4 linked regions of the Oreochromis niloticus genome follow. The protein of the gene in region 3 interacts with the protein of the main gene of each other region in a biochemical or structural test. Links are inferred from orthologs where the notes say so. Each region holds a gene or a part of one and is shown on either strand. Other genes may lie near its edges.

Region 1 (7,095 bases), on a different chromosome or scaffold from region 3:
TCATAGAATGCGTGCCCCGAGGGCCATATAATGACATAAGGGCTAAAGCTAGGGGTTACTCAATGTTCTGATTATTTAATAATACCTGTGCAATGTATAGACAAGACTGCTTATTTTGTTTCAAGACAGATTTTATTATATATAAATACAATTCCATCATAAAAAATAAAACCATTTTCAACAGAAGTTCCACACATTTAAAAAGGTGGAGTCAAAGAACACAAAATGTGACAGTTTCTGTCAACTAAACTAAGAACTTATTGACAAACTGTTTACCTTTGTGCCTTTGGCAGCACTTTGTAATTATATAATCACAAGTTCTCAACTATAGAGGGAAAAAAAATTCAATCCAAAGATCCATGGCTTGGCATGTGCATGGTATGTGCGAGTGAAAACGACATGCTTCCAAATAATAATCATCATGACCACAAGCCACAAGTTCAGGAGTAAGTCTGACAATGCAAGGCTGATGTCTAGACCGCTCGATTATCAAAATCCAGATATATTCTGGTCAATATTGGACAATTATTCACTGACTTTAGAAACATTTATCTATTTATTTATTTTAAAAGGCTTCCTAACAGTGAATTCCCTTAAACTTGAAATTAACTTCATATATGCATATTAACCAAAAAAAAAAAAAAAAGTGAACTAAACGAAACATGCTACTACGTAGACAGGAGTGAGTTTGGGTAAAAATCAACACAAAAACTAAGGACTTTTTAGAAAACACTATTCTTTTCATTCACCATGTTTTCTGACTCAGTCTTGTCGCATTGTTTAGAACTAAATGACAGCAAAACTGAGGCTATTTTATTCAGCCCTCCCAGCCCCACAAACATCTTCACTGAGTTACTTGCTCATTTATCCAGATATGTCGACACTGTCATTAAAAATCTTGGTGCTTTTATTTCCTTAACTTTTAACAATCAAATCAGGAATTTTGTCAAAAGCCGCTTGACAACATTCACCAACTGAGAACCATCACCAAATGAAAACTAGTTTTGTATCCAAAGAACTAAAGAGTTATCAATGCCTTTATCACCTCTCAGCTGGACTACAGCAATTCCCTGTGTGTAGGATTGCCCAATTGCACTTTCTTTCATTTACAAATGGTTCAAAGCACAGCCGCTCAACTCGTACGAGTAAGCAAAGCTGTTTTAGCTAAGCTGCGCTGGCAACCTGCAAAGTTTTGAATATATTTAAACATTATTTGTTTTAAAGCCCTCTATGGATTAGCTCAACAAATATATTACAGATCTTTTAACTCCACATCACATCACTGAGGTCATCATCACAATAACTTCTCTTGGTGTCCTTTTCTCACATAAAATCTAAAAATGACCAAGACTTTGCAAATATTGCCCCTAGGCTCTCGAACTGTCTGCCACTTCTATATTTTATTTTTTTTAACTGTTGTCTGACATATTTCTCAGTTATAAATTTTAATATGCTGCCTGTCTGTTATGCAAGCTATGTGTTTGTAAAACACTTTAAAATGTGCCATATACATAAAGTGACCTGAGTGGACAATACCTAAATCCTAAATCATAAGGATTACAAACTCGAAATTAAGGAAAGTGAGCTTATTACAGCAAGTGTTTACTCATAAACACCTACATAAGACAAGTCCAACTCACATATATAGATCCCAGTTGTGATCTGTCAGAGTCAAACATCTGATAGTAGTGCTGCACAAAGCTGGATCCTATCTGCTCCCACAAAGGCTGGTCCACCATCCTGAATCACCCTGCAACTCACACTGAGCGTGTGGGAGAGAGCGAGTCAGACAAACGTAATGAGATAAGAAAAAGGGCAATGCATAGAAAAAACAACAACAACAACAGCACCACCACCACCACCACCACCAGCAGCCTCCCACTTATATCAAAACTAATTTATAGTCACCAGATGTCAACATAAGCTTCAGATTTCTGAAAACCCTCTTGGACAGCCCTCACTACCATAATTCAAGACAGTATTCTGGGATGATGTTGTTTTATAGAATCAAGCTCTTAAAGCAGCGAACAGTACAATAGACTGTACAGTACACATTGCTTTGATTTTTGTTAAAATTTTTTAAAAGAAAAATATGTTTTTAACTAAAGACCACAAAAAAATAGCATATAGATCCTGTTTCATTGACAAAAATAAAGGTTAAAATTACTTATACTGAATGAGCCAAAGTATATTTTGCTGCAACGGATCCCTCCGCTCGGGTGACACTGACAGCCCAAGTCATGTGCTCCCACATAACGATACACGGCTGTTACTGGAACAATCCGAGCGCTCTGCACATTAGCAGTAGACTGCGAGCAACATACCCCGAATTGCGACCACACATAAGTAGTTCAGGGCCCCGTAAATATAGTCAGAAGTAAAGGGAGATTGAGGAAACATGAGCAAGTAACGTTAATGTACGAAAAAGCTCATTTTTAACTACTTAACTCTAGCTAACTAGCTGCTGCTAGCTTGTGTCATGTTTGCTAATGTTGACTCAGCCTGTGCTAGCACAGACAGTTCATATACGTAGCATGTCTCCTCGCCAGCCAATGTTAGGCGTCAGATAAATTATATTTCCAGGCGTTAGCTGATCGGCCAGCTGGTAGTAGCCTGTTCACCAGTTACTAAAAATACCCCGTCTGCTTTGAGTGTTCATACCTCTTGCGGGCCCGCGCGCACAGCTCTGGAACCCCGAAGCAGCTACTCTACATAGGCGTGTCCGTCGTTAGCCCCAAACCGGCCAATAGCAACCGATTTAATAACTTATACCGCGTCAGGCTTGTTCAAATGTCAGATTAAACTAGCGCTTTTTGTTTTCGAACATGTTTCCATTCACTATTTTGTAAGGGGGCACCATAAAAACTAGTAATAAAAACTTACCTCTTACGCCGAGGCCGGCTGCACGATCGCACAGTGCAATGTCTGCTCCGCTACGAGGGTACGTACAAAAAGCCGTAAAAGGCCCGATGCATTATGGGGATTGTAGTATATACTCAAAACACGCTCAATTTGCTCGTCTGTCACATTTGACATAATACTGCCACATTCTGATACATACTATATAAAGATATGTCTATTTAAAAGTGTGTCATTTCCAAATCACACGTTTTGATGATTTCTGAAGTGAAAAAACAATAAAAACCCATGGAGTAACAGACAATAAAAATGGTAAGTCAAAAATGGTTTTATTTTATTTGATGTACAAAGATTAAATGTGCTACAGTCACCACTGTCCAGCAAGAACACTTACATTACATTAGCTTTTAAAATGACATCAATTTGCAGCACAAAACAGATTTAGTAATTTGTAACTTGTGCCTTTATTGTTCTCTTAGGTTAGGTTGCTGAGTCCACCAGACTGAGAAAAAACGCATAAGCAAAGCTTTTTACCCAAACACGATTTATTTCTGCAGTCAGCAGCAGTAAAGGCCACCGCAAATAGATCCACAAACCAACACACCCTGGTTTGTTAAAAACATCAGATCTACATTGCACAAATTAGGTTTCGATAATTAAATAAAATATACTAATTTGTTTGAGTTTTATTCAATATTAGGGGTTACTGTCAGTTGCCAGTTCTTGGATTCCTTATATTTGTACAGTCAATCAAAAGGCATTTAAATGCACACTTGATGAATACCACTGACACAGAAATAAATAAATCTATTCTCTTACTATTTTAGTTAGTTTCTATAGTTAGCAACTATCTATCTATTTACTGAATTATTTTTACAAATGAAGTGCAGCTCATATGGGTTGTGAACCTTCTCAGAATAAATCCTTGAGATTATATAATAACCCTGTTAATATCAGGGCATTGGGGAATCTTTTATTGAGCCCTAGGTTGCAAAGCATTTTTTAACAGTCAAAGATTGGAAGACATTTTCAAACATGCTATCAGCATTTGAAATATAAAACTGGCAGAGAAAGGTGCTTATCTGGGGTGGACATATTACCATTAGCAGCACATTAACTTATCTGTTTCTGCAGAGCATGGACTACAACGTCACTGAGCCTCACCGCTTTCCTTGTTTTGGTCCTGAAAGAAATTAATTTTACTACATGTGTTGCTATCTACTCTCAAGCTACAAGTAACACATGTTTAAATACTAAAATTCTCCCATTAATAGGCTACACAAAACTGCCTGATTACATCAACGCCAAGGTGCTGAGGACCTGTGCTAGCCAGCTGCCCATGATCCTGAGTCACATTTACAGCCAACGTTTGAAACAGGAGATGATATCAGTATTAGGGAAAACATCCTGTCTAGTTCCTGTACCAAAAACCTCAACACTATTAAGAATTTAAAGCCTATTGACCACTTGCCATTACATCATATTTAATGAAGATTGTCGAGAGATAAGTACTGTCCAACATAAGTGAAAACATCTCGTGACCCTCTGCAGTTCGAATACAGAAGCTACCAGAAATATGAACGAACATTGTCCACTATCTCCTGGATTAATGATTACCTGTCCGACAGACTGCAATTTGGGAGACTGGACAGTACAGTACAGGAGCTCCAAAGGGAACTGTGTCATCTCCATTTGTGCTCACCTTGTACACCTGAGGTTTTCAGTACAATTGTGGTCTATGCAATCTACAGAAATACTCTGACAATTCTGCAGTTGTTGGCTGTACTAGCTGTGGGTGGGAAGAGGAGCACAAAGCACTAGTGGGTGAATGGACTGACCTGGGAGGATTAATCTGCTTCCAAATGTGAATAAGACCAGAGCGACTGCGATCAACTTCAGAGGAAAGAGGACAACTGACCCATGCCTATCCTGGGACAGGATGCTGATGTGGTGGAGGAGTACAAATACAGAGGCATCCATATCAACAACAGGTTGAACTGGAAGACCAACACAGAAGTTGTATCCAAAAAGAGGATGAGCAAGCTCTACTTCCTAACGAAGAGAGCAAAACGAGAGCAAAATCACGGAGATTTTCCATCAGCCAGTTGTAGTGAGCACAATGTGCTTTGCTGTGGTGTGCTGGGGAAGCAGCATCAGAGCTGGTGACTTGGATGTTGTAAATGAATGTATTTTTTTAAACAGGCTCAAAAAATGTTACATTATTCAGTTCTTTATTCTCTGTCATACATATTGTGTTACAATGTTGGATACTCATTTTAAACATGGCCAGAGTTTTCAATGTTAAAGTCAATATACGTGGCTGTGAGTCATTGCTCTAAATGCCTTCTCCTACATTTGTTCTTCTCCTGAATATGTATGGCTTCATAGTGAATGGGGATTAATCCCTAAAAAGGTCATCTCAAGCGCACACTAACTGTGAACACAGAAGTTCCACCCACTTGCTTTTCAAACGCTCTGATTTCGAGGGGCAGCCAATCAGAAGAAAGTCTGCTTAAAGGAAAGAGGAAAGTATGAAGTGAAGGACTCCACCAAGGCCCAGAATAAAATAAACAGGGATTATTTTGAACTGTCAGTCATGCAAAGATACTCTGTTAAAGGAGAAGAATATGAATGTAGTAAATGAATGGACATGGCATAGTAGGCCCCTTTTAATACCATATCAAAGAAAGTAATATGAATTAAAATTATTTTAATAAGATGCATTTAGCCTGATTAGCACAGTTAGCAAAGCAAAAATCAACAAAAACACTTAACCATTTCCAGGGAACAAATGAAAATAGTTCTGGCTGATTTTACAAGGCTTTAATTTTCCCCAGAACAAAAGAGGTGAAGGGCATTGTTCTTACATTTGTTTTACATTTGTGTGAATAAGATGAATAAGATCATTGAACTGTTGCAATACAGAATGAATACTATACGAGTATTTCACTCACTGTTAGGAAAGTGGTTTTAAGATTTGATGGTACATTTTCCACTGAATTGTCAAGGAGCTGAAGGTAAAGCTTGGAAACTCACAAGTATCCCAGTGGCCACAATTTCTAATATTTAATTCAGCATCTTCACAATTTTGATCACATGTTGTGAATTACATCAAGGCTCAAACTTGAGACCCCAGCCGCTAAACCCAGGCTCTAAGAGGAGATGGGATCACCACTGTTGCCTGCTTCACCTTGAGATGAGGCCACATGTAGATCCGTTTCCTCTCCAAAATATGTTGTCCTGTGGGCTTCCCTATACATATGAACACACACATATATACACATGGCTCTCATTTGACATAGTAAAACAGAACCAGACACAGAAAATTACTCATAACCTTCAAGGGTTATCTGAACTGATGGTATAAGGCTAGGCAGTAATGTATGCTGCACATATTTTAAAGCCCCTTGAGGCAAAATTATGACTTTATTCAGTATAAATAAAACTGACTCATCCAGTATTTATTTGTGTGTGCATGCATATGTGTGTATGTTTCAATGTATATCTATTTTTATCACCTAGACTCATGGACAGGGAACATGTTGCTCTCAGGGGCATCAGAGGTGACTGGTTCCTCTTGTTGCTGGGACTGAATGTGGCTTTGCCACTGGGACCCACTCTCATCAGTCTGAAAAACATTTTGGTGGCAATGTTTGGTCGCTACTTTTTTTGTCAGTTTACGATGACATTTTGCAAATATTATTATTTCCTCCACTCTTTATGTCAAGCTGTCTCTAACGCTGGAATAGCAGTATCGATCTTCTGGACCCTAATTTATTCATATTTAGGCTCTTTATCAGCTTTATCAGGTGACATTTATTAGATTAGAGACAAATATTGACACACACATTACATTTATTAGAATATTCATAGGATTGAAAATCTGTTCAAGTTCTACATACGTAAAGTACCTGGACAGAGGTTGAGACGTGTGTCTTGGCCTGCATGCTGCCTCTTTTGTGGAGTTCCAGCAGAGTGTCATGCTCACTCTTTAACTGATCAAAGTCGTCCTGGAGTGTCTTCAACTTCACAATAAAAAGAAAAAAAAAGTCACCAAAGACTGTTGAGATGTTAAGTCATGAAGTCTACATATAGTATCCAGCATGAGATACCTGTAGCTCGGTCCGTTGGTGTTTCTGTTCAAGGGCGTCCCAGTCACACTGGGGCACAACACCCCAGTACTCTGCATTCATCCTGTTCAGTTCCTCCTGGGCGTTCCTCAGGTCTTCTCGACAC
Region 2 (7,134 bases), on a different chromosome or scaffold from region 3:
ACGCCCGAGGGCTTTAAGCAAATTCCCCAAGTCACTGCGCACACAATATAGATCCTGTGGAGATAAAAAAAAATAAATTACTATTTCAATAAACAGCCGATTTGTGGCCATTCTAACTAAATACATGTATAGGGCATTGGCACATATAATTTAGAAAAAATAAATTAACTCACTGGGTTGTATTGTAATGCGGAGACATAAGCCTGCACGGCTCCCTCCATATCTCCTGCGGCCACCAGAGCTGCAGCCAAGTTGATGTACCCATCGATAAAATCTGGCTTGAGTCTCAGAGCATGGCGATAATGCTCTATTGCCTCCTGCAGCTGCCCACGCTCCTTGTACACATTCCCCAGGTTGGAGTAGGCCTCAGCCAACATTGGGTTCTGCTTGATGGCCAAGGTACTGAAGTGAGCGGACCTGCAAGGAAAGATTATGCACAAACGGTTACACTCCAGAGCTGACACAGTTGGTTCAAACTGCTGTGTAGAAACAACAGCAAGGCCCAAGATGTTAAAGAACAGAAAATTAGTTTAAGATGCATTGTCAAATATGATGAAAATCCCAAATATCAAGACACATTAACATGGGCCACAGCACCTGAGCAAAACTCTTTATTCAAATGTCTACTATGCAAACTAATTCTCGTGCAGGCAGTACAGCCCAACATAAGTTATGATGAAAATACTGCGAAGAAGATCACCATGTTCAATCTGATCCCGTGAGCCGTCATGGAACATTTTTACTAACCAACAGTTTTTGGGGTCAACAACAAAAGCATGCAAGTTAAGTTTAGCATTTATATTATGGTTAAATACCAAATTCAACAGCATTACAAGACTGTAATGCTACTGGCATTGTCCACATTTAAGGATTTGAAATGAGTGAAAAAGCATTTAGATCATGTTACTTGAAAGACCCAAGCACCTGAAAAGAAAGGTTACACTCCCACCACCAGAAATGCACAAAACCCAAGTTAAACCACATAACAGGATTTGCACAAGACAGCCCAGCTGCTCCACAGGACTCCCCAGTGTGTGCACTCAAAGCCAAGACGACCCATTTTTCTCTGCTACTGCTCACATGCCCAGTGTGCTTTTCCACCCCCCCAACACCTCACCTGTCGAGTCTTCGGCACTGGAAGTGGATGGAGGACAGGAGCAACAGCACGCCTGTGTTATCAGGCTCCTGCCTCCACAGCTGCATGCAGTGGCGCTCAGCTGCCTCAAAATCCCCTGACTGATACTCCCGGTGCGCCAGCTCAGCCAACCCTTGGAAGGAAAGCATACGTTTTGTTGGTTCTGGAGCACCAACATAAGCCAAGGAGGGGGAAAACGACACGTTAGAGGTGATGGAAAAAATTAAAATCAGACAAATGATAACAGAATTTTTTTTTTTTTTTTAGAGGAAAAAAAGACAAATGCTTTTATTTAAGAAGAGTGACTAACAATTTGAACTCAACATAAAACAAGGTTGGGGTTGGGGGGGGGGGGGGGGGGGGTCATGATACACATTTGGGGATTTTACATTTTATTGTGTTTGTAGGACTCACAATAAAGTCTAACAAATAAAAAAAATGGAGGAAAATAATGTGTGATGGGAAAACAGGCAGGCAGATGGATGAAACAGGTGTGAAAAGTTCTGGCAAAAACCCTCCATAACACATTTTGGATGTTTAGTAATTTCACATATCAAATATGTACTTTTAAAAAAACAACAACAACAAAACACCAGATTACTTTATTGTAACTTATTCTAATACAATTTCTAATTTTTTTTGGCCTTGTGTAATAGTTTTACATACAACTATGGTTTTATAACTACCACTTCACAGTGGTAGTGAACACATCAAAACGCTCTGCTCCAACAAAACGAAATAGTTACTCCAAGGTGGGGCAGAGAAAACAAAGCCACAGCATACAGTTAAACTTTTATTGCAGGGCTAATAATGCAGTAGATCCGGTTTGCTCAAGCGTTCATGACACTTACGTAACATTACTTGTGGAAAGAGTATAGCTTAAATTGCTTAAATCACCAGTCACAATGCGCGTAAATGCCGGGGTTCAGAACATTCTGGTATCAGTATCGCCGATAACCTTTGGGATAAATGCTACCATTAGCCTAAAGGCTATCTGTGCTAAGCGGTGAGGCATGCGGGGCCAACTTCAGTAGCAAGGCCCCCAGATTACAAATTTCAAAGACATCATCAAGCCCCTTTGTGCTAACTTAGCTTTTACAGCGACCCTTAAACATGAAACAAAAATGGTGCACCCCGAGCAAACCGCTAAAGCACCTTCGTGGAACGCTGATTCGTCTGCATTAAAGTGTGACTAGCAGACAATTTACGGCTACTTCGACGCAAACCTGTGCTAACCGCTAAATTACGCTAACGTTAGCTTTAGCGCTTTTATTGTCGCGATGCGAGGTAGAAATTTGAGCCCGCGTTGCTATTACTAACATGTTCTTCCACGTTGGACAAAAGACAAATTTAATAAAAACGTGGCTAAAATGGTTTACCGATTTTCTTTTTTTTTTTAAGGTCTATTTGTTAGATACTAGCTCGATCGCATCTAAGGGGGAAAAACCTACACAAGGACACCGTCTTTGAAGCTTGCCTTGTTGCCTTCTGTGTAGAATTACTTGCATAAAAACAGCAAACCTGTGCTGTCGGCCACGTTTCCCACTGAGCTCGCCATCTCCTCGGTCTTCGAGTCTTGCACGGTGGTCGTCAATGTGTCCTCTAGCAGATAACAATTTCAGAGAAAAAAAAATTGCGACAAGCAGCAAACACGCTGCCCGAATAGCTATGCAGATTTAGCTAAACTAATGTCCTAACGTATGTTTTTTTTTTTCCCCCCCCTAAAGCGACAAATGTAGATCTCGCAGTGGTTAGTATCAGCTGGCTAATACCCAATCAATTGTCTTGCTGTTAAGAGGTCGTTTTTAAGCTAACATGTTACGTGCTGTTTGTTAAATGGCTCTTGCTAGCTTCCCCTTCCCAACAAAGCAGCAGTGAATCATAAAATGGCGAGATGGGTGGAACTCGTTTTTGAGATAAACTAGATCCGTTCACCGCCGTTACCGAGACACGTGTGTAAAACTGTAATAAATATCGCACTTAGCGATATAAAAATATTTCAGAAGATTTGTGATTACATTTTTCTTCATTTATCGCGTGTTATTTCTTTGTTTACTAAAGTTTAAAAAACACATTAGGAACGATGCTGCGCGGAAGAACACATTGGTGCAGTGAGACGGAGTGCAAATGGAAAAAGCCAGCAGAGAACCGGTTGTAAGATTCACGAGGCAGATCATCTATGGATTGTAACGTGTTACCACAGCCGCACGAGTCTGGCGTGCAGATTGGCGGTAACACGGAAGGAGAATAATGTGAGACACTGACATTATATAACAGTGGGTGGATTCTGTTTAAATTACGCAATGTACAGCTGAAGATCTACGCGGCTGTGCTATGTAGATAAAAGAGGCGCAAAAACTGAAGTGGTAGTGATGTTACCTAAAATACAATTCAAGAATTACATTATGCAATTATACAGTACTGTGAACAAGTTGTCACAGATCATTCAGATCATCAAGCAAAGCTTAATATTAGACACAGATTAATGAGATAAATTATGATTTATTTTAGTAAATAAATCCCAATTTGTGAAAAAGTAAATGCCCTCGAAACCTGTTTTTAATCCAGACTTTGACTAAGCCACTAAAATATCTTTATTTTGCTTCTGTTTTTGTTTTTCTTATTTTTTAAGTCATTTAGAAGTGGACTTGGTGTGTTTTGTATCATTGTCCCACTCATAATCCAAACAGGCTTGGGCTTCAGGACATGAAGTGCTAGCCAGACATTTTCCTTCAGGATTTTCTGGTAGAGAGCAGAATTCAAAGTTCCATCAATTACGGTAAGTCGTCCCTGTCCTGGAGCAGCAAAGCAGCCTCAGACCATCACACTACCACCACAGTATTTGACTGCTGGTATGATGCTCCATTTGACCAAATACTGTGTTAGTTTTATGCTAGATATAACGGGACTCAAACGTTCCCAAATGTTCAGCTTTTGTCTTGTCAGTCCAAAGACTATTTTCCTTAAATTCCTAAATATATGATCAAGATGTTTTGTTAGACGAGTCTTTGTGTTCTTTTTGGTCAGCGATGGTTTTCTCCTTGAACTCTCCCAGCTCTCTTTCTTATTTTTTAATCATAAACTCTGACCTTAACTGAGACGTGTGAAGCGGTTCTTTAATGTTGATTTGGGGTTTTTTGTGACGTCCTGGCTGAGTCATCGTTGCTCTCTTGGAGTAATTTTGGTAGGCCGGCAACTCCTGCAAAGGTTCACCTCTGTTCCATTTTTTTCTCTATTTGTGGATAATGGCTCTCACTGTGAGTCACTGGAGTCTCATTACCTTAGAAATCGCTTTCCAAACCTTTCCAGACTGATAAATGTCAGTGACTGTTCCTTATCTGTTCTCGAGTTTCTTTAGATCGTTCCATGATGCGTTACTTTTTGAGATCTTTTAGCAAACTTCACTTCTCCGATAGGTTCTATTAAGTGAGTTCTTGGTTCGACAGGCCATTAATCAGGCCTGGGTGTGGCAGGAGAAACTGACCTTACTATTTTTGATAAACGTGGTTAATCACAGTTAGTTCATCATGGGGAGGAAGGTAGATAACTTTTCCCCTAATAAATTTCTTTCTTTCTATTTACCCAGGTTATCTTTGCCTGATATTAAAATTTGTTTGATGATCTGAAACATGTGATTGTGAGAAATATGCAAAAACCTAAGGAATCAGGAAGGGGGGAAAATACTTTACACTTTACAACTGTGCATACTTTAATGAGCAGATCAGCTGAAAGTGTAGAAAAATTTAAGGAATGGAAAATAATTTCCACATATTCCAGATATTTGTTAGGGACAATGTTAAGCCATATAATTTCTTTAATGTTTGGGATTGTTTCATTGTGGGACAAAGAGGGGTGGGGGTGTACAGGGTTTTTTGTTGTTTTTCGTTCCATCTATTTCTAATTTCAATACCTGCATGACTCCCCAACACAATAGGTGTAGCTTTAGCATAAATTCTGAATTAATTAAGATAGAAATTGGTTTTCAAAAACCTTTGTCAGCACAGGCAGTCAGCTTGGGTGTACAAGCTGCACGGTATGCAGCTTTTTGGTGCAACTATTCTGCAGGATTCATAATCACCAACAGAGGGCAACCTTTGTAAACCCATTTCTTAGATTCAGATCCGGAGCCTTGCAGACTGGCCTAAGACACTGTGCATTAGATCTTTTTATTTCTGCAACATGTGTCTGTAGTTGGAAATGTGATGTAATGTACTACTAAGATGTTCTTCCTTTTTTCACAAAACTGCAAGAATCCTTTCTATGGTTTTAAAGCTTTACATCAACCAGCATCAGAATTTAGTGACTGTTTTGTATTCAAACTAAGTGGTTATGTACAACAACTCTTTGAGTGACATATTTAATGTTACCTTTTCCAATTAAATGTGAGGGATTAATATGCCATTTATGCTAGAAGATGTTAAAAAGGGGGGCTGCACCCCAGTTTTTTCCCATAGCCTCTCTATGGGAAAGCAGCTGACATCACTGCCCATGTTGGTTTTGCTCTGTGTGCTCAAAGCATGCACAGGGCGCCTGGTTTGTGTGCTCTTCTTCACGTTCCTCTGCTTTGCTCTCACTCTTCACACCGCTTCGTCGGCCTCTTGTGCACAGGATGATGTCATGGGTACCGTGTGTCTATGGCGATTGAATGTGACATGCTTTATCTTTGTGCAGGCTACGGTCACAAGGAAGGCAGTCAGTGTGAACGCATCTTCCCCTGCCGAAAGGGTCAGTGACAGCTCCGCACAACAGACCCTGCTTTCACACAAGCTATTTTAGGAAGCGTCCGAGAGCAAGGGGTCCGATCACACGTCAATTTGGATATGGCGATATCAAAATCACAGCAAAGCTGGGAGATATTTGGAGTCCGTTGTGCTGCTAAAATACCAGCCCAGAAAATTCTGCCACCAAATGAGTGGCCTAAATTATTTCAGCCCATTTATTTTCGGATAAGATCCAGTGCAAGCTGATGACCCACATTATTAGCAGTGTTTTGGAATGCTTTACTCGGGGGTTATTTGTTTATTTGTTGAATATTTTTGTTGCATTCAGTCATTCGTACCTAAACGGGTACGTATTATGCTCATTTCCACTCTATATTTTTATTCTTGGTCACCACTACTTTAGCTTTGCATCCATTTGATAAACACTTATCCAGTTCAAGATCAGAGGAATTGTGGAGCCTTTCATCTCATCCACAAACCGAAACAAGCTTTTTTAGCTCTTCTCCCTTTAAAACAGAGGAGCATTATTATTGATACCATATAAAAAAGAGCACTATGAAATCCTGGGTCTGCAGAACATGAGCTCACTCTACACATGTTGTTCTGTAATTAGTAATTTTCACATTCCTCTGCTCTTTCCAATTCTGAACATCAAGTATTTCAGAACCTGTCTACAGTTTCACATTAATGGATCCTTTTGATTTTTATGGCTGTAACCTTGTTGAGGCACTAACCCAGCCACAGGGGAGCTGCAAGCAAGTATACGGCTAATGTCAGTCCCAATCCTGGATAAATCAGGAGGAATGGTGTTTGCCATAAAATGAAAAATGAAGACAGGTGTGTAGAGGTTAGACTAGGGACTTTAAATACAGGGGACATGGCTGGTAAGTGGAAGGAGAGCTGGCTTATATGGTTGAGATGGCAAAGATAGAGTAGAGAGACGAAGTTGAGACAGTTGGGATTTGCAGAGGTGAGATTGTGGTTAAAGTGAACAAAGGATGGCACCAGGCAGGAGGAAAAGGCGAAGAATATAGAGAGGATTCATGGATGTAGTGAAGGAGCGTATGCAGAGGGCTGGTATGTCAAAGGAGAATGCTGGGGATAGGATGAGACTGATGCAGAGGATCAGTTGTGGGGAACCCTAAAGGGAGCAGCTGAAAGAAGAAGAGCGTTGTTGAGGCATTGTAATTCAAAACTCATATATTCTATTTACACTGACGATAAGTGTTAGTTCACAAAGAAGTTGAATTTTACTTTAAGATGATTACATTTTATGAG
Region 3 (7,472 bases):
AATAGCACTTTATTGAAGTCCCAGAAACTTAAGTTAGACCCTGATCCTTGTGATGGAAGCGCTTTGAGTATCTCCAAAAGGTTCCTGCAGGAAATTATTACTGATGTAAAAATTTTCAGCTGCCACTCTAAAAAACTAAAGAGCAACAAATCCTGCATCCGTTTCAGTCGAAGTATTATGTGGCCTGTTCAATGTGCCATGTTGACAACCTTTAAAAAACAGTTATCTTTTGTAATAAGAGATATGGCTTGTCTGCACCAGAGGGGCCTGCAGCGTGGTAGAAGTTCATGTTTGCCTTACTTGTCCATCAACAGTTTGTTTTTTGTTTACTGTACAACCTTAAAGCTGTAAATACAACAAATCAATTCCATCCACACCTCTCTTTTCAAAATACATATGCTTAGCTGTAATTCAGCTATTACAGGGGCATCGTATGTGTGAACAAAGCATTCCCTCTGACATATAAAAGAATGTATTTAATGCCTGATAATTAAAAGAAACAAAACAAAAACGACTTCCATTCCAAAGGTTTATTTAATCAGACTTTTTAGAACAAACATAACAATTGACATAGAAAGAGAGGATCATTTTCACTGCTCTAAAGGCAAATGCACTGAAAATATCAATCTTTATGCAACCAAGAAAACTCAAAATAACAGTAATGAGGGTTGGATCTACACCATCTAAAGCCCTGATGACACCTCTGATTACAGAGTAAAAATGTAAGCATACAAGTAAAAGTATTTAGTGCAGATCAGTCGAATGTTAATCGGAAGGTTTTCTCCTGCTCCTTTCGCTGAGTGTCGCAAAGTTTGGACACTTCCTCGACCTTTCTCTGCAGCAGAACAGAGTTCTGATCGATCCACTGAAGTGAATCCATGTGGGCGTTGAGGATCTTACAGATCTGCTGCAGCTGATGATGAAAAAAGGAAATTAGACATGAATTACGTGAGCAAATCTTTGTTAATCTTATCGATTATCAAAAACTGGAGGCGTCATCTTACCGGATCACTGGTGTCAGCCGGGCCGCTGGACGTGTTCAGGTGCTCGATGATCTCCTTCAGGTCCTGCGACATCCTCTTCAGCTGTGCGTCCACGTTCTCAGCGAGCTTGTATGTTCTTTCACGCTCCTCGTCGGCGTTCTGCATGTAGATGGTTCCACTTTGCTCTTTCACAGACTCCTCAAGGGGGCAGAGCAGATCCTCCAGCTCCTTCTGTTGGGACAGGATGAAGTCCAGCTCCTGGTTCAGCCTCCTCTGATCCAGCTTCACCTTCTCCATCTCCTTGTGGAGGGATGTGATCTTCTCTCCGTTCTCCACCAGCATGCGGTCCCAGGCATTCACCTGAGTGGCCTGCTGTAAGAAATGTCTCTCCTGGTCCTCCAGCTCAAGACTCCACTTGTTAATGAGCCCCTCTAGCTGGGCATAGGTCATCACTGGAGGAGCTGTGCTGGTGGTGCTGGCTGTGGTTGTGGCTGAAGCAGCTGTCGTGGTGCTTGCGATCGATGCAGTTTTGGGTCCCAGCGAGAAGCCTGTAACAGTACCCGTCGTGGAGGCTGCAGCTGTAGCGGTAGAGGCGGGGGCAGATGTGGTGGTTGCTGGAACCAGAGGTTTGATCATAAAAGTCAAACTTCCACCAGTAGCCGTGGTTGTTGCTGTGGATGTGCTTGCTGCTGAAGCTGAAACGGCATTGAAAGCGAAGCCAGGACCTGCTGCTGTGGCAGCAGCTGTTGTTATAGGCTGAGCGAAGAGAGAAGGCCCGAAAGATGGGGGGGCCTGGGTGGATGCAGGAGGAGCTGGGGTTGATGACGGTTTAATCCCAAAGCTAAACCCTCCACCCTGGCCTGTTGTGGCGGCGGCGGCAGCAGCAGCAGCAGCAGCAGCGGTGGAGGTTGGCTGGGCAAGGCTGGAGGGAGCACTGGTGCCGAAGCTGAAGCCTCCACCTGTGGTGCTGGTGTTAGTTGTGGTGGTGGAGGCTGCCGCTGATGTCACCTGGACCTTGGGACCTCCGAAGCTGAACCCTCCAAATGCGAGACCACTCGGGGCTGTGGATGCCGCCGGTGCGGCTGTTGCTATAGGCTGGGTTTGAGCCTGAGATGCAGCTCCAAAGGTGAAGCCCCCTCCTGCAGGTGCAGTAGCGGTGGTCTGCGCAGACAAACTTGCACCCAGAGTGAACCCCGACCCTGCTGCTGGAGTCGCCGTCGAGCCTAAAGTCAACCCTGAAGCTGCTGTTGTGGTTGGAGGAGCTGCATTCATTCCAAACGTTGTGGTGGGTGCCCCAAAAGAGAAACCCCCGCCGGCTGTTGTGGACTTTGCTGGGGTACCAAAGCTGAAACCACCGGAGGGGTTGGTAGTGCTCTGGGTCTGGATGGGTGAGCCGAAAGTGAAGCCCCCTCCGGTGGCAGGAGTGGACGTTGTCAGTCCAAAGCCGGTGGTAGGGGCCGGGGCCGGGGCCGAGGCTGTGGTTTTCTGCGTTCCGAAAGTAAAGCCCGAAGAGGGCTGCCCAAAGGTGAATGGACCGCTCATTTTCTCCTTAAAGATAAAACAATAACATTATTAAAATCGACTAACGCACAAAATGGTTACTTCCTCGCTGAATCATTTGGCTTTTGGCGGGTCACAAACACACACACACACCAGGGGGAACTTACCGAAGAATCGGCTTCTCTTTTACGACGGCTTTCTAGACGTTGGGGTCTAATAAAGTTGACTACACCCTTCTTAATGTTACTTTAATCGTAACAATGATAAAAAAATCGCAACATATCCTTCTTAAAACGTGGCCAGCCGCCTCGACACTTTTTCAAGTAGGCAGTTCGGTAGTCAACTACAGGAAATGACGGCGTTTGGCGTGAAAGATAACCTTTTTCTTTGCCCTGTATTTTGTCTAGCGGAGTATAACCCGCCTTTCTTAGTAATATTGGCAGGTCTAACGACCAATTAGAATTATAATTTCAGACAACTCGAACTTTGATTGGTTTGGCTTGTCACCTGGCAGACATACGTCGGAGAGTAGTACGCTCAAGTTATCAAAGACCAAATTAACAACAAGAGGTATTACGTTTGTACGCAGTGCGAGCTGCTTCCCACTTCCCATCAAAATCGAAAGTTACATAAAATGAACATTGTTTTATATAGTTAAGATACAAATAATTTTAAGTAACAAGAGGGCGCGTTATTATAACGTTTTTCTAGAGCAAAACGAATATTTTTCTATATAGTTGCACACGCCTATGTTAGCTTAACTCAAAAAATTGCTTCAAAACCACAAGAAACCAGTTCACAAACTTTACGGGAACTTCTGAAAAACTCCTCGATTTTCTTTCAACGTTAAAAGTTTGGCTGTGTAACGTTTACCAATAACGTTACACCAAATTTGGGTCAATAAAGTTTGTTTGAAGAGGTAGCTTATCTTGACGTCGCTGTGACTCTTTGAACTTACTGGCCGCACACTCTCCTTTCCATGGTGACAATTTTCTACCTCTTCCAGGCATCCCACCACGAGAAGCTAAAGGCAATTTAGGAAAACAGTGCTGGAGCTGTGAGAATGGAGGCTGAAACGGCACCAAATTAAGAAAAAGCAAATCATTAATTATTTGTGTGTTGGCAGGCTGTTGAGGTTAGCTAACAAGCTCGTGTCAACACAGATTAGCAAACCAAGCTGCAGCCCTCGCTAGGCTCTGTTGCTGTGGATGCTAACTGCGATTAAACCTAAAAAAAGAGTACCGTTTGTTTATTTATTTATTAAGCAGCAGTCACAGCTGGAGGTGAGGCAATACAAAACGTGCAAGCATGAGGATTTTAAGGTTTCTGAGGAGCAGCGTGTCCATAGGGAAGGACATCGACTACTATTCCAAATTCTCACCCTCCCCTCTATCAATGAAGCAGTTTCTGGATTTTGGTAAGAAGCTGCAAGACTAGTAGATATTTACTAACATAATGCTTTACTAACATCGTTAACGATACTTTGACCTAAAATAAGGAGAATCTTCATACAACGTGTATGATTCATACACATTCTGGAAACTAACTAATATGGAAATAGAAAAAACAAACTAATGTAAAGTTAAACCGAGGATAACTGCCATACAAACAGTCCTAACACAAGCTTTTCCTTCTGTCATGTAAAGGTAGTTGATACCAAAAGAATGTATTTCACAAGACGAATGATACTCTTAAAATCATCTAGCATCCCCTTATTACACTTCCTTGTATTTAACAGGAAGGGATTTTAAAGTATCTCTTCACACATGACTAATGGGATATAATATATGCCCTGTTTGTGTAAGTCAAGTTTGAACACTTGTATGTAAGAATGAAGGTTAGGCCCTTGTTTGATTGGTTGATTTTCTCTATTTCATGATGAAAATGGTCCAGTTTGCTGAAACTATGGAAAGTTTACAGTTTATAAGAGGTTATGGAGCCTGAATGGTTTGGGGGTAGTTTTGCATCTGATATGTAATCCAGCCTTGATGATGGAAAAACTTTTATCATGTTACATTTACAGGATTGTGCAAAAGTGTATATTTATTTGAGTAATGCTTCTAAGGACAGACTTTATTAGGGTTCATAGTAATCTTTGCATTTGTTTAAACTGGAAACTGGACAAGTAGGGAACAAAAAAGAAGTGCCAGGCCTAAAAAACTATAAAAACTATCTGCAGCAGATGTCTTTGTAGGTTCTCAGTCATCCTGTTCATGGTAGTTTAAGGAGCTGGGAAAGAAAGTGACTGGACTTCTATAAGTGTCTTGAAGACGTTTCACCTCGCATCTGAGAGGCTTCTTCAGTTCCAAAACCAAATGCCCGAGAGTCCCAAGTATTTAATCCCTTGTGGGAGTTCTCCCTTAAGAGGTTTGACCAAATTAAAAGACAAAACCCACTTCTTCAAGAAACTTACAGAAGTCCACTCGCTTTCTTTCCAAGCTCCTTAGACTATCATGTCCTTTAGAAATGGGGAAAAACTATAACAAAGAGAGTTCAGGCTGTGTTGCTGAAGTATGGACTATCAAACTTGTTTTTGCCTTTGTGTATTTGTATTTCTATGTATCTTTGCACATGTTTGCTCTACCTGTTTCCCATTCTTCAAGCAAAATATTAAAAAATGAGGCTGACTTGAGGCTTAATATTACACACAGAGAAACAGCTGTCTTGTTTTATTTTACACTTTATCCCTTTACTGTAGTAAGGTGGCATTTGAGCCTTTTGTTTCTCTCTCAGGTTCAGAAAATGCATGTGTGAAAACATCCTTCAACTTCCTCAGACAGGAGTTACCTGTGAGGCTAGCCAACATCATGAAGGAGATTAACTTGCTGCCAGATAACTTATTGAGGACCCCATCAGTCCGACTGGTCCAGAGCTGGTATGCAGGTTCTCCTTTTTTTCCACTTAATTTTAATGAATTAACAGTATTTAACTCCTGCCAGTCTGTGAAATACAAAAAGATCATTTTCCTCCGTGTAGGTACATGCAGAGTCTTCAGGAGATTCTCGAGTTCAAAGACAAAAATGCAGACGACGAGAAAGTCACATATGAGTAGGTTTCCTCTTTTAACCACTGCAACAGCTCATCTATTCCTGCAGATTCTTTTCACGCATTGCTGTAATTTTTATGTCTTCAATTAGTTTCACAGATGCTGTGATAAATATCAGAAATCGCCACAACGATGTCATTCCCACCATGGCTCAGGGCGTTGTGGAGTACAAGGAGGCGTACGGCACAGATCCCATCGTCAGCCAGAATGTTCAGTATTTTCTGGATCGCTTCTACATGAGCAGGATTTCCATCAGGATGCTGCTCAACCAGCACAGTGAGCACATGTTATATTTTTTGTAATGTGATTGCTGAGCTGTACTTGTTTGGAAATGAAAGCCCTCGGGTTCAGGAGCCAGACTTCTGTGCTGATAAGATATCTGAGGTTTCAGGCTGTCTGCATCATTTTAAAACTGCTGCCACAGTAAACCCGGAATCAACTGACCCCACCCAGTGTCATTTTCTGGCAGTTACATGAAAATTAAATGACTTGTGTATTGTTTACAGACAGCAAAGACCAAAACAAGCTCACTTGCCTAAAGTTACACTATAAAAACATTGTAGATAAATAAATATAATATGGCTTATTTTGGACATCACTAAATACCGTGTTTCCTCCCTTGAGATTCTCTATCATGTCTTTACCGCAGCCGCCTTCAGCTGCTGCTTGTTTGTGGGTGTTAATGCTTTTATTTTCATATTTAATTGAACAGCTGCTCTATTGGTTCTCTGAGGTCTCTTAGGTTAAGGTCTGGGTTCCACAATCCACAATGCACCAAACCTCTACGGCCCCTCCTGCGGGTGGTGGACCCACGGGAGAGTGGGCCTGACCACCAGTCTCTCTCCTGCAGGCTACATAGCCCCAACTGAGTTATTCAGAAGGGGCTCAGAGTAGAGTTGCCACTTTTCCACATCTAAAGGAGCCAGTTCAAGTGGCATCTGATCAGGATGCCTAATCAGTGCACGAGGTGTTTCAGGTATATCCTACCAGGGGAAGGCCCTGGAAGAGACCTAGCACATGCTGGAGAGATTATGGCTCTCTTCTGCCTTAGGAACACCTCAATGTCCCCCCAGATAAATTGGAGGAGGTGGATGGGTAGAGGGAGGTCTGGGCATGTCTGCTTAGGGTGGACTCCGTGACCTGAACCCAGATAAGTGATGAGTGGATGGAATTTCAACCAAAGATTTTATTAGAATTTCCTGCACATGGTGACACTGAAAGAACTTGTTACGGCTCAGGCCTCCTCAGGATGGTACTGCTCTTCAGTTTTGTTTTATCTCTAATCAAAAGGTCTCACATTAAACCCTGAACTTACAGAGACAAATATCAGTAAGTATTAATACTTCAAACTGTTCATATTGTGTGTTTTTCTGTAGCTCTGCTCTTCGGAGGGAAGGTGAATCCTGCACACCCCAAACAGATTGGCAGTATTGATCCACACTGTCGGGTCAGCGAGGTTATCAGAGGTGAGACTTTTTTATGTTTATAGAAACATGCCGGAGCAAAGTGTTAATCTATGCTGTTCTTCCAGTTTGCAAGCGTTGTGTAACAAAAACAAACCACTTTCTCGTAGATGCCTACGAAAATGCAAGAAACCTTTGTGATCGGTATTACATGAACTCTCCTGAGCTGGTCCTGGAAGAATTCAATGGTAATTTATGTAGTTAGAAGAAACAACACAAACAGTTTTAATGATGCCGCACTTTGGAAAAACTGTGAACTGGTTAATGAATGAATTGTAACATAATCAAATGTTTTCCAATCGTCTGTTTGTCCTGATAGCCAAAGAGAAGGGAAAACCTGTCACCATGGTCTATGTTCCATCTCATCTGTATCACATGGTGTTTGAACTCTATAAGGTGCTTTTTAAAAGCCCGTATTCATATATGTCAGCATTTTATATTTCAAAATATCTCTTTTCCAATGTTAAACATTTGGATAAA
Region 4 (7,779 bases), on a different chromosome or scaffold from region 3:
TTAGCTTGTCAACATGAAGTCTGTGTCAGTTTGCTGGGCGGAGCATTTAACACAGACTTAGTGATCGGATCGCTCACTCTGCTTCCAGACATCCTGCCAGTCAGGTGAGGCACACCTGACCCCGTCGCTCTGCTTCAGGCTGAAGGACGGCGAGCTACAACTAACATCAGACCAGAGAAGAAAACAGGTGAAGATATTTTTGTACTAAAATACTTTTCCCCTCACACCTGATAGGATGCAGCGTGCTCCTGCTGCCAGAAGGTGGCAGTAGCACACGCAGACAGAGGCAAACAGCAAAGAACTGCCAACTACGTTTCTTCTGTCTGCAGGACGCCATCAGCGTCACGCCTCACGCAGGTGTCCAGGTGCTCTCAATCAGCTCCAACGAGAACATTTATTCTTCTCTGGACAGACAGCTTCCTGTTCCTCTGCAGTGAGCAGACGACCACAGCAGCACACTGTGTGTATGCAGATGTTCTTTAGCATGCAGAAACCACGATCCAGCTGAAACATCTGGATTTGAACTGAGTCAGTTTTAAATATTAGATCAGTGGTCTCTCGGGCCGCAATGGCGGCGTGTGGCAGGAGTTATGGACCTGGTCAGGTTACACTCTGCCGAGTTTACGGTTTTATTGTCAACACACTGTAAAGCGGAGGGGCGGGGCTTCATTTATAACTGCAAGATAAACGGTAACTGTTCTCACCTTTGTCTCTAACACCGAGGTCATGTGACTACAGAGTCTGATATTTATCTTCTTGACGCTACAAAAACTACAAAATAAAAACTACAGAAAGTCGTCTTTGATTTTATTGGTCCGACGATGACATCACCTCACGCAGCTGACGATCATTAGGAGTGTCTGTGCGTATAAACAGGAAGACACATTTCTTCAGGTGAACCTGCTGCTCAGGATGGCTCACCTGGTCTCCCAGTGACACGTGACAACAGCACCCACGTGGTCACAAACTACACCGCACACCGCCACGGCCCCATGGCGGCTTTACTGCAAACCCCACCGGCCCTACCCCAACTCCCCCACCATCTGCACCTTTTAGTTGGAGTTGTACATGCCAGTCACCACATCTGTAAGCACATTTAAACATTTCCCTGAGTAACAAGTAAACCACGTACCCACATCACCCTAACTCATCAAGCCCCGCCCTCACTACAGAATATCAGTCAAAACTAACCACACATTGAAGATGAGCGACCCGTGGAGACGGCCTCCAACCCTCACAGAGACCCTGGAACAGCTGTGACCCTCACACTGATGTTTCACAGAGAGCCACCTGCTCACACCTGCCGGTCACACCTGGTCACAGAAAGCTGCTGTCATGTGACCAGCAGAAACAGCCCGTTTACGGGGTGTTTACAGAGATATAGTCGCTGGACATACATATTTATACTTGCTACGAACCACTTCCTGTTCTGCTTGAAGTTAACATCTGTACTTAAATAGTATGTGAGGGCAAGGTCAAAGGTCAGGACCACAAAAAGGGTATGCAGAAGTGTGGGAGCATCACCTTCGCCCTCTGATGAAGACCTTGAAGTGGCTGAAGCATGCAGACCCTGGCACGGTCATATCAGGAGCCAACAGAGGCTTTCACTGTGACACATTTATGAACAGTGTGTGTGCGTGTGTTCGTGTGCGCCTGTGCAGAGGGAGGAAGGGGAGGAGGAAGGAGGAAAAGCCGGCGGGATCCAGCAGTCCTCGGCCCCAGTCCGCTCCTCTCCTGCAGCAGCCTGAGCTCCGACTGCTTCTCCCTCCATACTCACCAGGTTCTCTATGGCCGCCTGCTCCAGAAACTTCTGCGCCGCCTCCAGCTCATTCCGGTCTGCGGACAGAGAAGAGAGGAGGGGGCTGGTTAGCGGACGGGCTAACACACGGTGGTTAAACGTGTTCAGCAGACGTTCACACACAAGCACCTGGGCCCGGGGTCGATGTCCCGCACTAATGAGTCACCTCAGAGTCAGAAAGTTTAATTCCCACCCCGGTGAGAGCCCTCTGTGGTACCGAGAAGCACACCGACCCTGCAACATGCGCGCTAGCCACCTGCACTCTGCTAGCAGGCTAAAGCTAGCCGACACGTTTCCAGAGACGCGCATGAAGTTTTATGTGCAAACAGCGGAGCCGCTAAAACTTCGTCAACTCCGCTTAAAGCAGCGGAGCAGAGGTCACCTCACAACCAGAGCGCTCGCCTGTACCCGCGGCGACTCTAAAGCGGCGTTACCCGGGAGCACACACCGAGAAAGCGGTCGACAGTTTGAATGGCCCGAGCTAGCGAAGAAGCTAGCGGCTAACCCGGGCATGGGCAGGGTCGCGGCTTCTGATTGGGGACATACAGCCGGCATTACGGCCTATGTGGGCCCGAATCGACTTGATGACGATATGACAGCGTCTTCTGGTTTCCCGTCCACAGGCTAACGAGTTACCAATGCCAGTAAAGTGTGCTTAAACGCCCGGAAGAGTGCTAAGTCACCAGCGGCGTCAGGCCGTAACGCTAGCGGGTTAGCACAGTGAGCTAGCATGGTTTCCCTCCTCCCTGCTTCCAACTTTCCCCCGTGCTCCGGGGCAGCCCGCCGTCTCGCAAACACCGCACCCCCCGGCCCGGGGTTCGGCATCGGGTCCGGGTCGCCGGCTGTGTGCGGTGCGTGGTGCAGGGACTCACCCGGAGAGACGGTTTTTTCGAGAATCGTGATGAGCTCCATTCCTTCCCCCGGCTGCCTCTCTTCAGTCCGACACTTTCGGTTGCCGCGCAGCGCCCACAGTGGATTATATTTCTTCCACGGAGCTCGGTCGTTGTCAGGCACAGGACGGGTTGAGTTGGTGATACAGGTGGCGGAGGTTCCCCGGTGTTCGTTCGGCGTATTCTCACTCTGATGTTGCGGGAAATGTTGACAGCGTCGGCGCAGAGTCACGTCTCGTCTCTTCACCTCCGCCCGTTCGCATCCTGTGCTACAGGGAGGGAAAGGGCCGCGCGCTTCTCTCCCGCGGAGGGATATCACGCAGTGACGCCGAAAACGTGGTGCCTTTAGGGACCGCCGGACACCATATCATCCTGTCTCAGTACACTGAGATTTCATTTCATTTTTGTTTCACACATGGTGCAACAGTAATTCATTTCCTACACACAAACCTTCCTTTCAATTAAAATAACACTGCATCCATGCTTGAAAAGGAGCAGGAGCTGATGACTGAAAATATACATATCATACATCACTTTTAAACTACACAAATACATAATATCTCATTCTACACAGTTTATTTTTTATGTATTCATTCATTTGTTGAAAATATTTTCTTTTACATTGCAGTCGAACAGCTGTTAGTATTATAAATACCTTTCCATTAAATTAAATTGGTAGCTGGGATAGGCTCCAGCCTTCCTCCCACTAGAACCCATCCATCCATTCTTTTCCATTTATCCAGAGCGGGGTCGCAGGGGCAGCAGCCTAAACAGAGAGGCCGATACTTCCCTCTCCCCAGTTTATCCGGGGGAACACCAAGGCGTTCTCAGGTCAGCATATAATCTCTGCAGCGTGTCCTGGGTCTGCCCCGGGGCCTCCTCCCGATGGGAGGTGGATGGAGCCCAAAGCTGACAAAATGAGACGTTTGGAGGAAAAAGTACGCTGAGCGCAGTAATTGTGCTAAAGTTTGCTCAGCTGAAAACGTTTTCTTTCTTCAAAGATCCCTTTTGATGCTGTGGATTCCGAGCTACACAGAACGCAGCAGCAGCACGCACCTCTTGGCTTCTTTTCGGCGTACGGAGTCTCTCCTGCAAGTAACTAAGTACTTGTACTGGTACCTGTAGCTGCTCTGCGCTCCAGCTGCTGGTTTGTGCTGAAATCACGTGTCTGTGAGTGTGTCGTTGAACCTGCTGCAGGACAATGTCATGTTTTCTGTCCTCAGACTGACGTGAAACAGGAAGAAGACAAAGACACCAAACACACACAAAAACATAAACAATGACGTCACATGAAAGCGCTGTATAAAAGCAATTACAGGAAGTCAGCAGTTCTGTCAGCAGCTTCTCCTCAGGTCGTCAAAGCCTTTCGATCTTCAAGCTCCTCCTCCGTCCTCCTGCCTGTGGCCTCCATTAAAGGAGAGCTCACTTTATTTTCTGTTGCCTGGACTCCTCATCTCTGGTGGGAGGCCGAGCTGCGAGGAGGTGGTGAGGCCTGAACCAGAAAGTGATCGTTCAGGTCAATCATGCAGAGGGCAGCAAGAAGTGCTGCTGAAGGAAAGGACTTCCTGAAGGAGAGATCGGAATCTTGTTGTTAGTCGGTCCTGTCTCGAAGCCTCGAGCATCTCCATCATCATCTCCGAGTTCTGAAACCAGGCGCGATTAAAAGGTCTCAAGACACCGTCGTGATGGCTCAGAGCGACATGAATAAAACTGAACTGTGACAGCGCTCTGTGGCCCTGGTGGAAATATCACCTCACTGCATGGACACATCATCAGGCCGACCTGCAGCTGCCAGTGTAAGTTGGACTCGGACTGATGGGTGATGGACAGGTGTAGACATGGCTCTGGTGAGGAGGGCTCCTGGATTTGCAAGAACAGGCTGTTACAGATAACACCAGAGTCATACGTTCTTCCACGATGTTGGAGAACTCGAGCACGAGCCGGAAACCCAGAAAACCTCCTGTGTTCATCCCGGTCTGCTCCAGTCAGTGACAGGATATTTAGAATGTTCTGCTTTTAAATTTTATATATATGAGAGAGAGGGGTTGGGTGTCACTCCTCGACTTTGATTCAGAGGTTTTTACTAAAAGCAGCTGCAGACATTCATACTGACACATTTATGATTGTGTGTCTGACTCTGTGTTGATCTGTTTTAGGACTTTGAGGAAAGTGCTCCATAATTTGATTTTTTAAATATATAATTAGAGGAGAGAGGCCACAGCCAGGTGAGTGCAGGTGAAGTGACGCAGGAAAAGTCTGAATAAAACACGTCGAGCTGAATAAAGAGACACAGCTGAAAAACAAACCCATTGCTTCTTTATTAGTCATTTTACAGTAGTCACTCATACGTAGCTGCCTTGAGTTGGTCTTTTTGTGTCTATTTACCGTTTGTTCCAACATCTTCCTCTTTTTTTTTTAACATCAACACAATGGAAGAGTCATGGACAAAGTATAAAAAGAACCCAACAGAGGGAAAACAGGATAAAATGCCCCTTTTCACAACAAAAACTACATTTGGCAAAAGGTGAAGATGAAGATGATGATCCAGTGCATCTTTAAAAAAAAAAAAAAAAGGACATCAAACACCACATGATTCAGTTTTTACTAAGAGGAGAGCGCAGGTGTCCGACTCGAAAACAGTTTTCATTACTTAGCAATTATCGTCCAGTCACATTTGACCTCCTCATTTGTTGCTAGCTGAAGCGGCAGAGAGCATGCGAGGCGCCACCCCTACGAAAAAACAAAACAAAACAAAACAAGAAAAAAGAAAAAAAAAAAAAACCCCTCATCAAATAGAAAAAATAAAATATGTTTAAAAAAAAAAAATGACCCATTCATATGCTGACAGTTGATCTGGTGCGTTTATGGCACAACAAGGCGTCACAGGCGATTTGAAATTTACCCATAATACTTTTATTTCACAGCCGGTAGCAGCCCAAAGTCGACGCACTGCTGCAGGAAACACTGCGATACCTCGGCTGCAGCGCTGCAATATTCACTCATACCAACTAACAGAAGGTGCTGATGCTGCATTTTTTTCCTAAGAATTGAACACCGGCAACGGTTAACATATTTAAAACAAACAGCAGAAAATGACTAATAGCAGACAGTAAACAGTTACGATCATGTCCCCAGAAAGACGTGAACACTTTACTCTAAACCAAAAAGCTAACACCAATTAGCTTGAGAATGTAATCATTACAAAAAAAACAAACAAAAAAAACAAAAATATCAAACAAACAAAAACTAAACTTTTAGACCTGGTTAATCTTTTCCTCCACGTTTATTTTTCTGACCAAGTTCTGAATCAATGTTAGCTAAACCTCTGGGTATTTTAGCTCCTCTGAGCTAGCCTAAAGAATGTAGCCATTTTCCCGCTCATTTTCTTTTTTTAAACTTTAACAGTATCAGGTATTCTTACCCAGCCAACCCTAAACCTCTACAGCCTTTGCAGTTAACTTCAGCTAGTCTGATAAATCCAACCCTTTTCCTGCTTATTTTGGAATTTTCCTGACAAGTTTCAAAGCTAAAATTAAACAGAATTAGCTTGTTAGCTTATTGATAAATAAAAATCTCCCTAACAAAAAAAAAGTGTTTTGTTTTTTTTATTTTTTAGTTTATACTTTAATAATTTAGCTAGCTAAAACTAATTCTGTTATCTTTAGCTGTTATAAATTAACTTGACAAATTATTTCCTGCCCTCAGGTTTTAATATTCCTGTCCAGATTCTCATGTAAGTTCCAACATTATATTATTAGCTATTTTGCTCTATGCAATTTACTCAATTCTTTAGTTTTTATTTTTATCTTTAAAGAGCTAGTGTTAGCGTGTTAGCTGGCTAACAACAATAAATCCCTAAATTAAAAAGGGTCTTGTCGCTAATGTGGGTTAGCTAGAGGACGTTTTCACTAATTTGACGTTTTTTGTCCACTAGTTTTAATAGTCTGAGTGATATTTGAGCAGCGGAGGTAAAGCAGCACTGACTGCAGCTAACCAACTTGCCAGCTGGCTCAAGGCAATCCATTTACTCTAGTCTATCCTGAAAGTAAGTTTTAGTCATTAAAACCGCTGTGATTTGATCGGCCATTTGATGTGTCGCAGACGTGTACATCTTAAAATACAAACATCACAAAATAAAAAACATTTTGAACATCACCCTCCACCCACAGGAAACTCAGGCAGTTCACATACATCAAGAAAAATAAACCCAACAGTTACAGCTGAGCATCTGGACGTCATTTATGAAACATCTGTGCGACTTTATAATTGAAATTCCCTGCTTTTATCCATGGAAACATGAAAAAAAACAAAACAAAACTTTGCTCAAATACAACTGAATGCTTTTTCATAACTGACGCCCACAAGAAACGACCGAAGCCCATTTAAGCCAAGAAAACAAACGCTTCATGAATGAAACAACTTAAGACCCAAAGTCATCATCTTGATTTTCTCGGTCGCAACTACAGAGTGACTAAAATTAAGAAATAACCTGAGACGAGTCAAGAACACGACAAGAAACAAGATCAACTGATGGCAAATCATAAGAAAAACTAGGGATATGATAAAATAAGTCTATGCTAAATTAAGATTATTAAAACAAAAGCAAGATTATACACACACACACACACACACACACACACACACACACACACACAGGATTTATAAAACAAGTCCAGACGTGCTTCTGCAAACTCGATTTTGGACTGTTCATCCATGTTTTTCTTTTCCTGGCAGAAATAGGTTTCTTCAGCAAACAGATTCATATTTCTCAAAGTAATCTGAACGATGCAACGACAGGAAGCTGATCAAATGGAGTGTGAGCAGCCAGAAAACAGGAATGTCTCCAATCGGAGTGGATGGAAGCGCTGCTGTGGCACAAAATAAATAGAAAACAGAAAATCAAAGACAACAAATACTCCTGAGAAAACTGATGATTGATCAGAGGAAGCTGATCGAAGGTGATGGACACAAGTATAAAATCAAACAGGGATGATTGAGGCTCAGTTTCAAAAAGCGTGATCAGTCTGATCACGCACACGCTCAGAGGGAGGAAGAACACCTGAACACAACCCACACATGGCCAAAGGTCAC

What was found.
Region 1: the proteins of nup62l (region 3) and nutf2 form a complex in vitro, tested with the Homo sapiens proteins (3 studies listed by BioGRID). The link is inferred for Oreochromis niloticus from reciprocal best matches to the Homo sapiens genes NUP62 and NUTF2.
Region 2: of the proteins of nup62l (region 3) and ogt.1, one has a biochemical effect on the other in vitro, tested with the Homo sapiens proteins (2 studies listed by BioGRID). The link is inferred for Oreochromis niloticus from reciprocal best matches to the Homo sapiens genes NUP62 and OGT.
Region 4: the proteins of nup62l (region 3) and kpnb1 form a complex in vitro, tested with the Homo sapiens proteins (2 studies listed by BioGRID). The link is inferred for Oreochromis niloticus from reciprocal best matches to the Homo sapiens genes NUP62 and KPNB1.

Annotation. Positions count from the first base shown.
Region 1 is NC_031972.2:6,984,685-6,991,779, reverse strand, and holds the start of nutf2 (nuclear transport factor 2), read right to left. Parts: upstream 3,020-7,095; 5' UTR 2,884-3,019; intron 2,790-2,883; exon of another isoform or gene 2,662-2,789; intron 1,763-2,661; 5' UTR 1,740-1,762; coding exon 1,641-1,739; intron 1-1,640. Other genes in the region: tsnaxip1 (translin-associated factor X-interacting protein 1), read right to left, coding at 6,012-6,111, 6,378-6,487, 6,771-6,884, 6,972-7,095. UniProt on the Homo sapiens protein: Mediates the import of GDP-bound RAN from the cytoplasm into the nucleus which is essential for the function of RAN in cargo receptor-mediated nucleocytoplasmic transport.
Region 2 is NC_031966.2:27,677,608-27,684,741, reverse strand, and holds the start of ogt.1 (UDP-N-acetylglucosamine--peptide N-acetylglucosaminyltransferase 110 kDa subunit), read right to left. Parts: upstream 3,004-7,134; 5' UTR 2,694-3,003; coding exon 2,657-2,693; intron 1,299-2,656; coding exon 1,118-1,298; intron 418-1,117; coding exon 174-417; intron 55-173; coding exon 1-54. UniProt on the Homo sapiens protein: Catalyzes the transfer of a single N-acetylglucosamine from UDP-GlcNAc to a serine or threonine residue in cytoplasmic and nuclear proteins resulting in their modification with a beta-linked N-acetylglucosamine (O-GlcNAc).
Region 3 is NC_031987.2:16,402,532-16,410,003, forward strand, and holds nup62l (nucleoporin 62 like), read right to left. Parts: upstream 2,832-7,472; 5' UTR 2,651-2,831; intron 2,532-2,650; 5' UTR 2,526-2,531; coding exon 1,005-2,525; intron 914-1,004; coding exon 755-913; 3' UTR 516-754; downstream 1-515. Other genes in the region: pdk1 (pyruvate dehydrogenase (acetyl-transferring) kinase isozyme 1, mitochondrial), read left to right, coding at 3,792-3,900, 5,217-5,358, 5,460-5,531, 5,621-5,805, 6,906-6,995, 7,103-7,180, 7,312-7,388. UniProt on the Homo sapiens protein: Essential component of the nuclear pore complex. The N-terminal is probably involved in nucleocytoplasmic transport.
Region 4 is NC_031969.2:34,683,120-34,690,898, reverse strand, and holds the start of kpnb1 (importin subunit beta-1), read right to left. Parts: upstream 3,019-7,779; 5' UTR 2,711-3,018; coding exon 2,671-2,710; intron 1,837-2,670; coding exon 1,778-1,836; intron 1-1,777.